2 linked regions of the Oreochromis niloticus genome follow. The protein of the gene in region 2 purifies or fractionates together with the protein of the main gene of each other region. This does not show direct contact. Links are inferred from orthologs where the notes say so. Each region holds a gene or a part of one and is shown on either strand. Other genes may lie near its edges.

Evidence for each region. The genes of interacting proteins can lie anywhere in the genome.
Region 1: the proteins of cdk1 (region 2) and cdkn1bb purify together in Homo sapiens (affinity purification with mass spectrometry; 8 studies listed by BioGRID and IntAct, counting the BioPlex papers as one, with this or other methods). This does not show direct contact. The link is inferred for Oreochromis niloticus from reciprocal best matches to the Homo sapiens genes CDK1 and CDKN1B.

The regions. Positions count from the first base shown.
Region 1 is NC_031972.2:46,458,087-46,461,839, forward strand, and holds the start of cdkn1bb (cyclin dependent kinase inhibitor 1Bb), read left to right. Parts: upstream 1-1,168; 5' UTR 1,169-1,564; coding exon 1,565-2,006; intron 2,007-2,229; coding exon 2,230-2,342; 3' UTR 2,343-2,348; intron 2,349-3,608; 3' UTR 3,609-3,753. UniProt on the Homo sapiens protein: Important regulator of cell cycle progression. Inhibits the kinase activity of CDK2 bound to cyclin A, but has little inhibitory activity on CDK2 bound to SPDYA. Involved in G1 arrest. Potent inhibitor of cyclin E- and cyclin A-CDK2 complexes.
Region 2 is NC_031978.2:31,832,047-31,835,799, reverse strand, and holds the start of cdk1 (cyclin-dependent kinase 1), read left to right. Parts: upstream 1-1,208; 5' UTR 1,209-1,355; intron 1,356-1,954; 5' UTR 1,955-1,960; coding exon 1,961-1,997; intron 1,998-2,268; coding exon 2,269-2,425; intron 2,426-2,815; coding exon 2,816-2,939; intron 2,940-3,753. UniProt on the Homo sapiens protein: Plays a key role in the control of the eukaryotic cell cycle by modulating the centrosome cycle as well as mitotic onset; promotes G2-M transition via association with multiple interphase cyclins.

The sequences.
Region 1 (3,753 bases), on a different chromosome or scaffold from region 2:
GATCAGAACCTGAGGCGAGCATCTTTTTTGACATCACTCTTTTGTTTGGGGTTTTTTTAGGGGTTTTTCTTTTTTTTTTCCCCTTCAGTGGAAAAGTGTAAAACTTGGACGATAAAGAAAAAGAAGCTGGAAAAAGAAGCTTGATAAATTTAAAAACAAACAGTACTTTTGCTTGAAGATCACCTTTTTAAATAGAGCCTTAAATAAGAAAAAAAGTTTGGACATTATTTTCAAATTAAATTCAAAGCAGGGATTTGTACATTATTGTTGACCTGACTTGTGTTGAAAGCAACACATCTGCTCATTTTTAGCAGATTACTGTTTTTTTTCTAACAGATCCCTCCTCCTTGCAGGTAATGACCAAAACATTTAATCTAGTGTCCTCAATATGAGAGTCGGTGTAAATTTAGAAATCACTGCTTTGCACTTTTGCACACCCTGCCTACTTTTTTCCAGATTAGGGTTAAAAACATAAAATTAAAATTTTCCATATTTTTCTTTTTTTATTGGTAATTTCTAATGGGATTTGGATGGTGCTAGGGATTTGTGTAAACCTGCTAAGTTTTTCCTGAGGTGTCGGGGAAAAAAACTTTAGCATTGAGTACTTTTGGCTTCTTCTTTTTTTTAATTCTAAATTTGCTGAGTTCTGATACTGTGTGGTTTTTTAGCAGTGTGTTTTTTGTGTTGTTTTTTTTGCTCTGGGTTCTGGTGGCAGTGTGGACAGAGTCTGATGTGTGCTGACCTTGACCTTCCCCACTGAGGTGCAGATAATTGGTGGAAATGGCATGTCATAAAGATACACATTAGCCAGATTGGCACAGTTTTTTTTTTTTCTTTTTTGCTTTGTTTGTTTTGTTTTAATTTAATTGTTCTGCACCTGTTAGGAGTGATTTGTTATGCTATTTTTTATTTCAAAGATTACAATTTATCTTATTTGACACAGCCATGACAACATTTATTATCAATTACCTTTTTTTTGTACATCCTTTTTCCCCCACTCACAGTTATTTATTATACGTTAATTACAGAGTTACATATATACATGACACTCACACGCTGATATTTTTTGTTTTAAGGGAAAAAGAGAAATCAGAGCGGCTTAATTTAGCCGGTCCACCTTAAGAAAAGTAGGCGGGCTTAAAAACTCTGACCAATGAGCGACCTCTTTGGGAATTTAAATAGCTCAGTATGTCAATCATGCCCCTACCCCCACATCAACCTTTCGCCATATTGGGCGAAAGAGAAGGGTTGTCTGCAGTTTCTCTCGCTACGGGACAAAATTGACAGAGCGCCTTCAGTTCCTGAGCACTTTGTTTTGATGAGACTACGCAGGGCTTCACAACACGGCGGCTGTTCGCGTCTTCGTTCCGACGTATGCATGGCATAACGCGTTTTACGCTTGTTTTGGAGCTTTCTCAGCGAAGAGGAGATAACCGTTGTTTTTGAGTGTTGTGTGTGTGTGCGCGTGTGTGTGCTGCTTTTTTGTTTGTTTGTTTTTTTCCTCCTCGTGAAAAACTGGACGCTCCGGGCTGTTTTAAAAAATTGCGTGTTTCGCTGGAGCAAAATGTCAGATGTTCGACTTTCAAACGGGAGCCCGACGCTGGAGCGGACGGACTCACGGCAGTCTGAACACCCGAAACCCTCAGCCTGCAGGAGCCTCTTCGGCTCGGTGGATCACGAAGAGTTAAAGAGGGATTTAAAGGGACATTTGCGGGAGTTGGAAGAGCGCGCCTCCGACCAGTGGGGCTTCGACTTCGCCACTGACACGCCGAGGGCCAACTCCAGGTTCGAGTGGAAACTAGTGGATTGCAGAGACCTGCCGGGCTTCTACACTCGGCAGCCGCTTACGAAGAAAGGCGTCTGCTCCACTGGGAATAACAATGTGGATCTTAACGGGAATCACAGTTGTGTTGTGGTGCCTCCGAGCGAAGATCCCGACAGGGCTGACGGGCAAATGGAGTGCACGGAACAGTGTACAGCGCTGAGGAAAAGACACGCGTGTCACGGTACTACATACGCTCCAGTTTAACCCGTTTACATCAGTTGTTTCTGAGCAACGCAGCTGATCGCGTATTGATCTGCACCGAAAATAGATTTTTGAAAATCATGGCCCCAAAAAAGCACTGTTAAAGAGTGGGGTTTGCCTGCAACACTGTACCAATATTTTTTTTATTTTTTTTTTTAAGAAATGACGAAAATTTTTTTTTTTTTTTTTTTTGCTTTTTGCAGACTCCCCTGTTCCGAGCAAGAGGTCACACAGCAGCTCAGATGTTAGTTGTCCAAGTCGGAGTCACTCTGCAGAGCACACGCCCAGAAAGACCAGTCCCAAGAGGAAAACGTGAGAAAAGGTAAAGACTGTTTATGCAATAGTTTCCCCTTTTTTTTCATCTTTTTTTTTTTTCCATTAAGGAAAAGCAAAGATTTCTTTAAAAGAAAAAAAAAAAAAGGCCTGTGCATAGTGTAACTACAGTAGGCGGTTTACTGGCCGCTCCATCTCCCAGCTGGGGGGTACCTTTGGAAAACGAGTAAATCTGCAAAAACATCCGTTTATTCATTTAATAAAAATTTGATACCGCTTATAAACCATTAGGAGGCATTCTAATTCAGCTTAAACACCCCTTCAGTTCACTTAAATAAGATTTGGATGATGCACAGCTTTGACAGTCTGCATACCTTTTGTGCACGCCCTTCAAATGTGCTGTCAGTCTGTCTCATTCATTAATCAGCGGGGACAGAAGCATAAGGGAGTAAAAGGGGTTCTTCGGTTTTTTTTGGTTTTTAATTTTCCACTCGGGCAGAGAGAGCTCTGTCGATACACTGCGATCGAGGTGAAACAGTGGAAGGCAAAACAAACAAACAAAAAAAAATGCCTGTACATTTTAAAGATCTTTAACATTTAACCGCTGTCTGACACGGTGAGTCCGTTGAGTTTCCGTCGAAACTTGTAAACAACAAGTGCTGAACAACAGTGTAGTAGTGTAACACGTCAGCAACTCAGAGCAGGGACGGGAAGGGGCTGGTCTCTGTGTGCAGTGCTGCACACGCGTTGCACACTAACGTTACAACACACATCTGTCCCTGCCGGTGGAGAGTGTGCAGAAGAGTCGTGCAGGTCTGAAAGCAAGTGTGTGTGTATTGGCCAGGGCGACGTCCAATAGGCATGAAATCAGCATTGTTATGGCACGATGTTAACTGTCAAAGCTGGGGGGTGGTCACGTCTTTTTAATGCATTTTATTTATTTCCATTTTTTTAAATTGTAGAAATCAAAAAATACCCCCAAACGAGGCTGTCTCATAGGCACTTTCAGATCTTTTCATGATTAATGAGGGGTGCTAATGTAAAACTATACCAGTGTTTTTTTTTTTTGTGTTTTTTTCCTCAGGTGGGTCTTTATGTATTTATGTATTAATACATGTACAAAACTGATTAGTTCATTCAGGTCTCCTGCTGCTCTGAGGTTTACCCCTTAGACCACACTAAGTTATTTATTTTATTTATTCATTTATTTGTTTGCAGAAATTGTTGCATAATGCCCACATTAGTGTCATCATTGCAACCTCTTATGCTTCTGTTTTTTCTTTCTCCTTTCATCTGTTTTGTCCCACAGAACTGAAGATGAATGCCCCCCCCCTCCTTGTTTAACATGGAGAAACCTCAGTGTTGGCTGGTTTGTTTGTTTGTTTTAGGGGTTTTTTTGTAATTTTTTTTTTTGTTGTTGTTGTCGTTTTAGTTTAGTGTTTTGTTTTGTGGGG
Region 2 (3,753 bases):
TAAGAAAAAAAAATCAAGCATGAAAGTATAAAAGCTGAGCAAGGTAAAAATGGACTAATACGGAATCGGGTGTATGCAATTCTGAATAGATGGTTTTGAGACGTGATTTAAAAGTGGTGAGAGTTTGTGGTCCGGAGATCTGGTGGAAGTGCAAAGTCTCGGGGCAGAACAACTAAAGGCAACTAACTAAAGCAACTTAATCATGTGGAAATCCTTTTCCCTTATTTTTTTATGTTCATTCAAATAGTTATTTTTTGAGTGTATTGTGATCGACAAACACAGGTGTGAAAAGAAAAAGAGAAAAAAGTGTAACTGTGTTAAAAAGACATGATGTTGATATTCATATGAGACTGAGGTGAGCACACTGTTCCATCTGTCTAGCACAGGATTTCACATTGGTTATTACAAAAAGATAACATATATTTTATTTGTATTTGGTATAAGGTACTAATCAATGTAAAAAAAACAATTAGATAAATAACACAATCATTAAAAATACTGAAATGTAAAAAATGGGTTGCACATATCTCATTAATATCACACAAAATAGAAAAATATATTTATCTAAGCAGAATATTGGTCCATGTTATGTGTTTAGAGTTGCTGTGGCTTACAGCATTAAAGTGGGGACCAAAGTGATTTTCAGCAGTAAAATATAAATATAACATAAAAAATGCATACATTGTGCAGGATCTGAAAAGTGAAGTCAATGCAGAAATGCCATAAATATACATTGTTTTTAATGATCACCAGGGAACAAGTGGTGCAAGCATTATTAATCAAATCAACAGCTGCCTCATCATATCTGCTTTCAATACTTCTCAACTTCAGGCATTGTTACTTCCTGGATAGTTAATGGATAGTACAGGGCCACTGACATAAAATAGGGGTAGTTATAGATATGAATTTCTGACAGAGATATGTAGCCTATATTACACTTTTTTACTTAGCAAAATTAATGTGTCAGACTATGACTATAAATGCACTACTTGCTAATACATCAAAATTAATATTAATATCGTAATCTGTGTAATCTACAAACTGCATAACGTATACGTATTTAATCTAACTTTAACTAACTGTATGAATATATAGTATGTAATTCAACCGGATTTTACAAATGGGTAGGGCTTAAATATCCCAGCACCAGTGAATGCTCCCAAGGACATCGGCGGGTTGTCTCCCGCTCTACCCACATGACAGCCTTCCTTTCCTCTTATTGGCTGTTTTGAATATACATTCCGTGAGCCCATTGGACTGTTTTAACCTGCTGCTGCACTCCAGTCATTTCAAAAGAGTCCGGGAGCGTTCCAGCGGCAGTTTGTTCGTGTCTGTAAAAAACGAGGCACAAACAGGTAATTTTTTTGTACTTGCCAATATAAGTGAAATTTAAATTTTACATTTAAAAAACTCATTAGCTAATGCGGACCATGAACGCCCGACACAACGTGTCTCAGCGGTTAGAATGATATTCAAAAATGGTGCCTTTGATGGCTAAACACTTTGTTAAGCTAACGTTAGTGGTCCTCTCTTGGTCGTTAATCAGAAGAGCTAACTTAACGACTGCTTAATATCTAACTAGTCTTAGTTACTAAAACGAGTGAAAGAGCGCCCGAAAACTTGTGAGCTGTATAGTGCAATAAAACTAACGTTTTAAAACTTCCGTGTTCGTATTTTGAAGTAGCTTGCTCCATGTTCTGAGGAAAGGCCTGTCTGCATTACTGTAAATGGTTGAATTAACGTGACATGATTTTCCATTTTTAATGATTTCCCTATAAGTTAGTGCTAGATACTAACAGGCTTGTTGTATGGTTCACTTTTAAATAAAAGGCTGATCTAACCTAACATCGACACTAAACAAATGAATAGATATGCGTGTAAGCTGCTAGAAATGAAATGCAGGTCATCGGAAGTTGTTTACATTACAGCGTGTTTTTTCTCTTTCTCCTTTCAGGCAATAATGGAAGACTACCTGAAAATAGAGAAAATCGGAGAAGGTTAGTTTTAACATCTAAATTATTCACACGAAACTCTTCAAATGTTGATACTTCAAAAATGTGTCATTATGTGTGTGGTAAATTCTTCTTGTGTGCATCTTGTAATCTCTGTTTGCTCAACAGTCTCATTGTTATAAAGTTGTTCTAGTGTAACTTTTCTTTTGACAACAATTACTTTGGTAACTAATCCAGTAATGTATGTCCAGCAATTTGGAAGCATAAACAGGAGCTGCCAGTATATTCCAGTGCTCATGCTTGCGCTTTCCCCCAGGTACATATGGGGTTGTGTATAAAGGTAAGCACAAGGCAACGGGGCAAATTGTGGCTATGAAGAAGATCCGTCTAGAGAGCGAGGAGGAGGGCGTTCCCAGCACAGCTGTCAGAGAGGTTTCTCTGCTCCAGGAGCTGAAACATCCCAATGTTGTACGGTAAGCTCTCTGTGTTCAAGAGTGTGGCCTTTTCAAATTCTCTTTGTTTGATCTTAAAATCCTTTTGGTTTTTATAACATGAGGTTTGAATTTTTATATGTACAATACTTGTCAATATTCTCTGTATTGTGTAGTGCTCTTTATGCAGCATGGAGAGACATGGTGTTGGTCAAACAATAGAAACTATTGTGAAGTTTTAAAGATATGCATCAAGTTCATTATATAAATGCATGTGTAGCAATCGTTGACAAAGTTTCTGCAGGATCAACAGTTTCAGTATTGTGCAGAGTCCTGGAGAGGTCAAATAATTGCTCCTCAGTCACATCCTATGAGAAAATACGTAAAGTATGAATTTGTGTATTTGTGTGTATGTATGTGTGCGTAATCCAGACTCCTAGATGTCCTAATGCAAGAATCTCGTCTCTACCTCATCTTCGAGTTCCTGTCCATGGACCTGAAGAAATACTTGGACTCCATCCCCTCGGGCCAGTACATGGACTCTATGTTGGTCAAGGTAAGTATTAAATTAATTCAGTGGAGCAATAGTTGCTTGAACTTGAAGCTTTTAAATCTAAGATGGGTTACGTTTGCACTTTAGCTGTAACAAAACAAATTTCCCACCTGTGGGACTAATAAAGGTCATCTTATCAGATAATATATTACATAATTCATAAGCCAAATACTTAAAGTTACAGTGTGCAAAATGAGTAGATTGCAGTCGACTGAATTCAGTGTCTTAACTCTCCCAATTCAGGTGTGTAATCTATGCAATAGATAATATGGTGGCCATTGTGTTGATGAGTCAGTGAAACTCGCTTCCGTCCAGGGACAGCAATACTGATGTGACTTGTTAAGTATATCCTGAACTTTTCCTTCAGTAATTGAGGTCGAAGCGTGAGAAGGAAGAGCATGACATTTTATTCAGATGTTGCTCTTTTTCTTTAGCATTTTATTTCCTTCTCAGGTAATGAAATATGGATATGAAACCTCATATACTATATTGCCTGAAGTATTTACTCATCTGCTTTCACATTCACATGAATTTGAGTGACATCCCATTCTTAACCTTAACATTTCACAAGGTTTAGGAATGTGTTTATGGGAATTTTTGACCATTTCTTCCAGGAGCGCATTTATGAGCTCAAACACCGATGATGGATGAAAAGTCCTGGTTTGCAGTCTTGGGTCATGTCAGTACTCGGGTCTCCTCATGGACTTTGTGCACATGTTGAAACAGGAGAGGGCCATACCCAAACTGTTCCCACAAAGTTGGGAGCATGACGTTTGTCCAAAATGTCTTGATGTGCTGAAGCATTGAGAGTTCCTTT